Linked DNA regions of Drosophila melanogaster. The protein of the gene in region 1 interacts with the protein of each later gene in a pairwise test. Each region holds a gene or a part of one and is shown on either strand. Other genes may lie near its edges.

Evidence for each region.
Region 2: the proteins of CG9801 (region 1) and CG2336 interact in a two-hybrid assay, tested with the Drosophila melanogaster proteins (one large-scale study listed by BioGRID).

The regions. Positions count from the first base shown.
Region 1 is NT_033777.3:8,744,157-8,749,540, reverse strand, and holds the start of CG9801 (uncharacterized protein), read left to right. Parts: upstream 1-1,865; 5' UTR 1,866-2,015; exon of another isoform or gene 2,016-2,197; intron 2,198-3,879; exon of another isoform or gene 3,880-4,062; intron 4,063-5,384.
Region 2 is NT_033777.3:6,579,114-6,583,282, forward strand, and holds CG2336 (uncharacterized protein), read left to right. Parts: upstream 1-1,670; 5' UTR 1,671-1,803; coding exon 1,804-1,814; intron 1,815-1,882; coding exon 1,883-1,897; intron 1,898-1,959; coding exon 1,960-2,902; 3' UTR 2,903-3,158; downstream 3,159-4,169.

The sequences.
Region 1 (5,384 bases):
CAAGAGACGCCTCAACCAAAGCTTAGCTATGCCGATCCATTGCCCTTCATACGGTTGGTTTTGTAGAATTCTAGGGCTTGTCATGAAACTTGGCGAGTACTTATAGTGCTCCGGGGGAACTGTTGTACGCGAAGCATAAAGTAATGAGATCATTTAGTGCTTTAGGACAAATGGTTTACAAAACGAATTGTACTTGTATAGAAGCCACCACAAACCAAACAAAATGCTAAAAGTATAAAAATATATTTTTATGCATAAACGCTTTGCCTTAAAACAACAAAACAAACAAGAACAACATATTTAAATACAGAAAGATAATTTCTTTTAAAAAGTTTACAAGATGTGTTTCTATCTTTCAATAGGGATTCGGTAAGTATGTTAAGTAAGAATAAGTACGAATACTAAGTAAATTACATACTTCAAGTTCTAAGTATACCACGTTTTATTTACATTAAATTGAAACGTCCTTTGTTTATGAACCAATGTGGTCTATAAATAACCGACACACATTTATGAAATTCCATTTAGCAGTCAATTCTGTAAAAATTGTATTGCGAATTTCTGTCGGCCGGTAAGGTTCATTAACATTTGCGGAGCTGCTGTGGAAACAAATTAAGCAAACATGCAAATGAACTCGCAAAAAAATTGGCAAGAAAACTTGACATTTCGCGAGCTTTTGCGCGAGAAACGGAGACACCACGTAAAAGAGAACGATGCAGGACAATTAGCAGAGATAGGAAAAACAGCTGGCAAAAGGAAAATTCAGGGGAAAACACAACATGTGTGTGTTTTCTTTTCGCGCGCTCAAAGCAATTACAAAATTCACACACTGCGCGGCGGCCCAGCAACAAATTGAGATTACAAAACAACGTAAAAAGGTTCATTCACCTGTGTGCGTTGTGTCTGTTTCGCGCTTTTACGTGTTTATGTGTGAGACAAAGTCGTGGAAACAGAAAATATACTAAGTAAATATATATTCGAAGGAGTAGTTTATAATGAACAAGTTTGCAAAAGAAAATGCTATTCATTTAGTAACTTAGCAATGAATGTTTGTTCTACTTTTAATTGCACTTAATATCCTTTAGGGCAAGTTCTAAGGTAAATTATTTAACCGCATTTATTTTACATAAATAAATATTTGTATAATGGTAGAGTGGTGTTTGAGCTTTTAATATCGTGATCAAAGCGAGTGTCGCATAAACCCTTTGCAAAAAATAAGTGCGAGTGTATGCGGATTACCCGCCATTCGCCCGCGCCAGCAACCACAAACACACACAGACAACACATACACCTACACTAACACCGGTAAAGCGCAATTGGCCATTTAGTTTCGCGCAAATAACAACGGCACGTTTCGCATATTTATAGCGAAACAGACATTGCGACAATTAATTAATGTTTAGCACAAACAACGTTGTAACAACAGCAACAACACACAAACAACGGGCCAAAACGAAATTCGCAAATTCGCGTGTCGCTGTTTTGGGTGCGTTAGTGTGCGTGAGTGCCTGCATCGGCATTTAACTGTAATAATTTATCTTAAACTTACTTGATCCTCAATTATTTCTATTGCTTTCAAAGCAATGGACAGTAAAACCAATAAATATTCGGTGAATACAACACTATAATCAATGTTAGACCATGCAAATTTCAATATTCGCCTATAAAAAATACAGATCCCGCGAAATGCTGAAAAATAGCGACAATGTGAACGAACTGGTGGCGCTTTAAAAAGCCGTCTGCAACAATTAAAATACTGCAAAATATACTGAAAAATCGCGCTGGGAGCTGCCAACTCGGTTGGTTGCACATAGAATAGTGTGTTTCATATCGACGATTCGATTACCACAAATATCGCTTGGCTTGGCCAATTCACTTCGAATTTCAAATCGAAGCAGGAACGTCGGTCCGCGGCGGAAACAGTCGTTAGCAGTTCCATTTCGTAGCGACATTAATTGGTAACCATTGGGACTCGAAGTGCAACACACAAAAGTGGACTGTGCAGCGCGATTTATGTTAGTATTCCATGCAGAAGCCGAAGTTCTGGGCGATGGAACCACCCTCCGGCAAATGTTAAATATTTATACACACCACCAACGGAACGCACGCACTTACATATATTTCCCCATTGCAAGTGGCGCCAACATATGTAAAGTAGCGATAAGAAAACAACCCAGAAGAGGAAGGCACACTTATTGTAAGTGAATGTGCACTGTGTTACATGGTTATGGATATTTCGAAGTTCTATTGATTTTTGGGTTCTCCAAATTTTTTTGCCGCCTTCGACGTGTTTTTGTCGCCTTTTGTTTTGTGCTTTTGCTTCCGTGTGTGTTCGTTCGCCTTGATTTTTCCATTTAACTGGGTTTACGTCTTTATTATTCTGTTTTTTACGTCGTCGTCCCCCCTCCAACAAACTTGTGGGTGGGTTGGGCGCTTGAACCGCTGTTGATTCACCTGCCGTTTGTTTTTTTCTCTTATTTTGTTTTCAACTTCACGGGCAGCTGCGAAATCTCAGCTGCTCTAGCAAAAATAACAATAACAAACAAAACAAGAACAACAAAAGTCAGCTTTCGTTGGTGCAATAACCGGTTTTCAAGCTTTATCGTATTTCGAAACTGTGCTAATAGCTGGTGTTGTTTTTCGTTTGGCATATTTTACCGCTTTGTTACCCACATAATTATAAACTTACTAATAGTAATGACTGTAAAAAGTGGCGATAATTTACAATTACGGAGCACTTGTTAATATATTGAATTTCGGTAGCAGCATTGGCAGGCAGTTGATTTTGATGCAAAAACTTTCCCACTTAAAATGTCAGTTATTCATTTTTTGTACAACATTTTTACCTGCCTGCCAACTGCAGATGCATGTGATGGATGCTTCCTCCTTCTCGTTTTCGCACTCACCTCCATTCGCACACTGAGAAAAATTCATGATAATCTTCATTTTACCGAACTAAAACAAATATAAAATATTGACATCGTATCAATAATATTATAAACTGTTATAAAAGTTTTAAAACATAAAAACTTCATTTTCTGAATAGTATTTTCTTTCCTGAGTTCCTTGAACTGAAGTTTAGATTTCAGTGTAGCTAGCATAATTTCTCGTTGAGCCTTTCGGACATGCAGCAGGCAATTTCTATGTCCTGAAACAAGCCAAAAGCGCTCGCTCCAAGGATAACAGGCTCGTCAGGCCACAAAATCGATTCTCCACGAAGCCCAATACCTTGGAGAAAACCCGACACGTGATGGTGCCTGGCTGGGAATTACGGAAAATGTAAAAAAAAGGGGCCACGCAATAAAGGAACAGGATGGCTTGGATTGGGCATTCTAATGGGAACTTTCAACTCGTTCTCTTTCTGCCCTTTTCACAACTTCTGGCGCAAACTGTGGCAAAATTCAAACGGGAGAAAAACATGCCGGATATAAGCTGTAAATTAAAGGGGACAACTCGGTCAGATATTTTGGGGGAACTAAGTTTAGAATCCAGGGTGTAGATGCATGTGGCAAACAACAAGCAGATACCGTATCTAAGATTATCTAAACTTCTTATTGGGGGTGATTTCCGGCTGAGAACGAACGGGATTACCTACCACACTTCTAAAGCGATTGCATCAGTATATTCTGTAGACCAGTCGCAGTAGTAAACAAATTGCTTCATAAGATAAGTTATCTCTAGTTTTATTAGGGATTAGAATTGCAAAGTGGGAATCGCAAAAAAATGCAATTATTTTAAATAATTATATTCCCCCCAACACTTGTTTGCATAATATAACCATCGTTAGCCTCATTAATATACATTTTGTAGTTTTTTATTGAGATTTAAATTCTCCAGACCAAAACACACAATCATTGTATCACACATCATTGTTAATCTCTTCTTTCAAAAACTTTCGACATTTTTCTTTTTAATACATCCCCTGACTCTAAGGCCAAACTTTTTTAGGGAAACTTCGGCACTTAAACGCATCAAAAATTCCTTTTCAACTGGCGCCCGACAAAATCCCTAGGAATTCAATCACTTTCGCTTGGCAACCAAAAAATTTTCACAATTCTGCTTGTAAGTAGTGGGGAATGTGGTGTATTTGGTGGTGCACAGATGCCTGAAACTAACTTTGAACTATGCATGCACATCGGGAAAATATTTTGTTTCTCCATTTTATATATTTTTCGCCGGCTTCTTTTTCGTTTCGAGATGGCAAGGATCAGGCACACAGACTCCTGGCTGCCGTCTGGTTCCCAGGGGATGGGGTTGCATGAAGTTGTTCTGTCTGCGCTCCATCCACAACTGGCTGGTTTCCCAGGTCCTGCTCCTCCTGCTTCCCGGCGCCCAACATCCTTTGTTGTCTCGCTGGAAACGGAGATGGCGATTGGCGCTGCCGTTGGCTCTTTTATGACGCAGTTGGTCCGGACAAGTTGAAGTTTGTTTGCTCGGCCGTGCCTGCAAAGGAGTTCATTCTTGTATAATGCATTAGCGAGCCACTGAAGAAGTTGTCTCAGTATAGTATGTCCGTGTTTGTTTAAAGCCAATCGGGTACAATATGTGGCTTCTCCTTCTATCCGCCAAACCCGTAAAAATCCGAGCTCAACCGAAAAAGTTTCCGGCTCATTAAAACCAATTTGTCTGGGAACATTTATAGAACTTTATGCCTTTGATGAAAAACAACCATTTGGCGCTAGACCAGCCGCGCGAAAATAAATAACATTTTGCCAATTTCCAATTAATCAGCAAAGTCAACAGCAGCAAAGGTTCATTGAATTTGCAGCTGTGTGGGGTTTTGGCGGGGTGGAGATTTCGGTAAATGGTTTGGAGTTAGAAGGGGGGTATATCTGGGGCTTAAGGTTTCCCTCCAAGCACGCTCCGCTTTCAATGATTAGTCAGCCGAGTGATATGACTAAGCGAACCACCAAAGCGTTTGGCCACCACACGAGACGGAATGAAATTCAAATTAAAACTAGAAGTCCGAGAGGTGAGGTTGGTTGGCTGGGGACTGACAGCCAATCGGTCACTTAACCCGCCGCAAGGTCTTGTACAGTAGGGGCTCCTTGTAATGAACGTCCTTTCTGGGGACATTTTCACTTACTTCTAATATGATTAACGTACATAACCGACGATAGAGAGTCTTTGAGCACTTTGACCACTTTTAACCAAAACTGTCTCGGCAATTATCTTTTATTATTAGATAGAAAGAAATTCCACTTTCAAGAGCTTCTACTGTAGGTGGAATAACCATGGCACCTGACAAACCAAGAAGTCCGTCAGTGGGCAGCCATTTGACACCGAACAGTGCAATATTATCTAGAGGTAGCTGGAGGTGGAGAACAGATTTCACGGGTGGACAGGGGCTGGGATGTGGGCGGGGTATATGGGGCGAACAAAGT
Region 2 (4,169 bases), 2.2 Mb from region 1:
AATTAAGCCAAAACAAAGCGCCGCCGCTCAAGAACCAGACGAAATGCGAAGACGACGACGTCGACGGCGACGAGGACATGCAAAAGGAGTGGCACGTGGGCGGCGGTGGCGATGGCAGGGGGCGTGGCAAGTCGTCCTGCGAGTCAAGAGCTCGCTCGCTGCCATTTCCCCCTGTCAGGGACTCAATGTGTCCGTAGGAAATGGAAATGCCCTTATAATACGCCAGACGTGGTACATTTTCTTTTTTGTATGTGTGCGGCTTTCTTTGACTGATTCTTTTGATTCCAGTTATACATTTTAATTAAAACCACCTCATAACATAACATACATAACTCGCCTATCTCGTTGTAGTTAACAGGCGTTTTATTTAAATAGTCCCTTAATGAGCAAAACAGTCTCGCCCAGTCTTTGTCCTCACCCCACCAGGTGAACAGCTCTCGAAGTTGTCGGGCTGCCGGCGACACTTTTCCGTCATTGTCCCACCTGTCATCGCCAGTCGGTCCGAGCTGCCACAAATGTCAGTCACCGCTTTAAACGCTTTTGGCTAGAATAAGCTTCAAGTCAAAAACAAAAATTGAGTAAACGATTTAGAAATAAAACACATTATTTGAAAAGGGAGTTGGTTTAGCCATGACCTTCTGTGCGTCCGTCGATTTGTATGCAAACTAGAGTCTCAGTTTTAGAACTAGCCGAATAAAACTTTCAAAAAGTCTTTTTATTGTAAGTTTGTTAATTCCAGATATAAACACTCTATCATATAGGAAAGAAATCATATCATCGTGGTTTTTAATTATAAAGTGTTCTAATTCGGTATAAGCATTTTTCTATTTTAAATATATTTTAACTGCAAGCATATATATATAAATGGATATATAGATTTTACATTTAACGTTTTTCGGCTGAGTGCATGAGAATGATTTTCGTGCCCACTTTAATTGCAATTCGTGTTAATTTCGCCGGCGAAACTGGGTTTAACAACCACTTGAGGCGGCCAGCTGCCACTTCATCGGTCATTATGGTCAGCCATAAACAAATCAGCAAACAAAGTGGCAGCCACCTGCCACCTGCCGCCTTCCATTGTCCACGTCGCCACTTTGCACACCCACTTTTCGCACAAATTGCACGTTGGGCGCCACAAAAGTTGCGACCCAAGAAAAAGCAAGCGGAAAGAATAGCCGAGCCAAGAAAGCGAAGGGAAACAAAGGAACGAGCGAAAGAAAATCTTTCATTATCATGTCACGTCAATCGAAAAACAATCTAATGACTGCACATGATTTCTATCTCAAATAGGTTGGACGGGAGTCTGGGCAAGGGGCAAAACAGGACGGGAAATCGCCCTACATACACACTGAACTCAAACACAAATGCCCACAGAAGTGGTTGAAAAGTTTGCGGCCAAACGATTATTATGCATTAGCCATGCTTAAACGGTTAAATCAACTGTAAATCCCTCTGCCCACAATAAGGTCGTTGGGGGCAGCCTTCGATGGGCGGTCAACTGCACAAGTCAAGTGTGAATGAGTGTGATTTGATAAATCACTGCGATATAACAAGGCTCAACGTATCTGAAACTTAGATACCGAGGCGGACAGGCATTTCCAGTTGATTAGGAAGTACGGCTTGGAGCTCACTTTTATAAAGACTTCAGATTTCGAATAGATTATGTAACTATCCTAAGCCTAAAGTGTTAAAAAAATTCTGAGTGTGTTTGTTTTTGGGACGAGCTTAATAGGCTTTTCAGTAACGGTTAAGTTTACCTTTTAAATATTTAAATCTATTAAGTTTGTAATATTTCCGATTTTAATGATGTACAAGTAAGTAAAAAAAATATTATGGTGTCTATTGCTATCGCTAATATGCATATTTCCGTTTTCATTCACAGCAACCGACCCACGGCGTAGGTATCGATATAAGTTACTATCCAGATCTGAGTATTTTAATATTTTTCTTTTTAAACAGTATCAGTCTAGAAGAGGAGGTTCAATATATCTATAAGTACCCTTTGCTGCCGACTCCACTGATTGATTATGGATTTATCTACAATCTGGTTTGCAACAAGCCTCGGGATGTCAGTGTGCCGTTGATCCTAGAAATTGAGACAGAGTTCAAGTCCAAAGACAGTGCTCCTGAGAAGCCAAAGAAGGTGCCTAGGCTTTCATACCATTCCCGATCGAGTTCAATGAGTGAAGATGAACCGGAACCGGAAGTGCAAGTTAAATACCAGTGGAACTCGCCGCGGCTGATGATTCTCTGCGAAGATGGAGACATCAATTGCGCTTTGCACTATCTCGTTGAGTCTCTTCACGATCCCTTCGCCTGCAATGCGGTGGCCACTCTTTTCTTGCAGGAATCCATATTGGAGGAGTTCGTGGATCGCATAAGGGATCGCCTGGAACCGTTGAGCACGGATATCTCCGGGCATCCGGTTTATATAATGACACTGGAGAGAATAGGTCACTTACAGGCAAAGAGAATAGTTGGAAATCCCAAGACTGTTCCAGAAAATGCTAGTCCCATGCTGGTCTACGACCTTAGCCATCGTTACTTGGCTGATGGACCCACCGGGGTCATAACCCTGCACACCTTTCGAACCATGAAGGAGGCCGTTGAGCTGCAGGCTAAGGAACCACTTAACTTTACCTCTGTGTGCATTTGGAACGAAAAACTGGCAGCCGCCTACGAACTGGTGGCCCGATTAAGTCCGCTGATCTTCACGATTAATTGTTACTACGTTAATCTGAACGAAATCACTCTGCCCTTCGTTTGCAACTTTAACTCCGCAAAGATTATCGACGGCTACCACTACGAGTCATTGACCTTTAAGGGAAAGCGCAAAGTGGTTGTCCATCCAGTTGGCACCATCTGGGCAAAGTTGGCCCGCGAGGCACTCGTCCAGTACTGATCTCTCCCATCGGGGGGTCGCACTCGAACTTCTTTTGACAGCCAATTTAAATTACTAGTCATTGATCTAGGGCCTCTGGCTAATTGACTTTCCGGTTGGGCAACTCAATTACCAATTTAATTGCTACAAAACGTCTGCCCGTCCCAAGAGTTTTGGCCTACATATTTTCCGGGGAAACTCAACAGGCCGTTTCCCCGGCCTAATGGAAATTATGAGTGACTTTGTATTGCGATATTAAAAATTCTTTCTGCGAAGTAATTCACCTAACGTGCCAATAATTTCAAAAATTAACTTTGCCCCATTGGCACCTTCCCCGATTTCCCCGCTCTGCAGAACAAAGGCAACAAAAGGCGGTTCGTGTTGGCAACAAAATGTTGAGGCTGCCAGGTGAGTGGGTGGGAAGTGGCTGGATGGCGGGTGGAATTTCGAATATGCCATAATTACTCCACTTGGTCGCTGCTGAGGGTCGATCGTGCAGAGGGGCCACTGGGCGGTCATATTAGTGGCACATTTCGGCTTGTTGGTTGGCCAAATAATACGGGAATGGGAATGACTTTGGCAAACGGGGGCTGGGCAACTTTATAATGTACTTCCGTTTGCTTTCATTCACATGGCAGCGGAATATCAAAATATTTGACATTTGCATAAATAACACGGCCACCGACGCAGATCCCGGGCAAGTTGAAAGGCAAATAAGGCTCGAATTTTTCGCCCAGCCCCAAACCACACACATATCATGCCTGGAATTGGGCAAATTTAAAAAACCAGCACATGCCAAGGGGCATGGAATGGAAGCGGTGCGGAGCAGAGCGAAATATGCAACGCAGGCAGTGAAAACAAAACCGTGGAATTTCTGTCCACCAGAGTCGGGAGTCCTGGCCACGGACTCCGGCTGAGGGTGGGTCCAGTGGCTATGGGCAAATAAGATTTGCGTGAAATCCAGCAGAATTCTGTTGGCTACCAGGGTTCCGGCCCGCTGTGGCATAGTAAAGCATGTCGGCAAGCAGGGCCCGCTCACTAAATAAACAAATTCATAAACAAACAAGTGCGAAAATATGGGACTTTACTTAGGCTCCCGTCCGATACCCTGATGGAGCCATTCAAACGAATTGTTCAATATAGGCACGCTAAATATGAAATACGACGGGCAATCTTAGCATGGAAAAGTGCACACAAAAAAATATATGTACTTAGGACTCGTTTATGACAGTAAAAGAGATAATATTATTAAAAAGGCTTGTTGATATTGATTACTGTTCAAGAATGC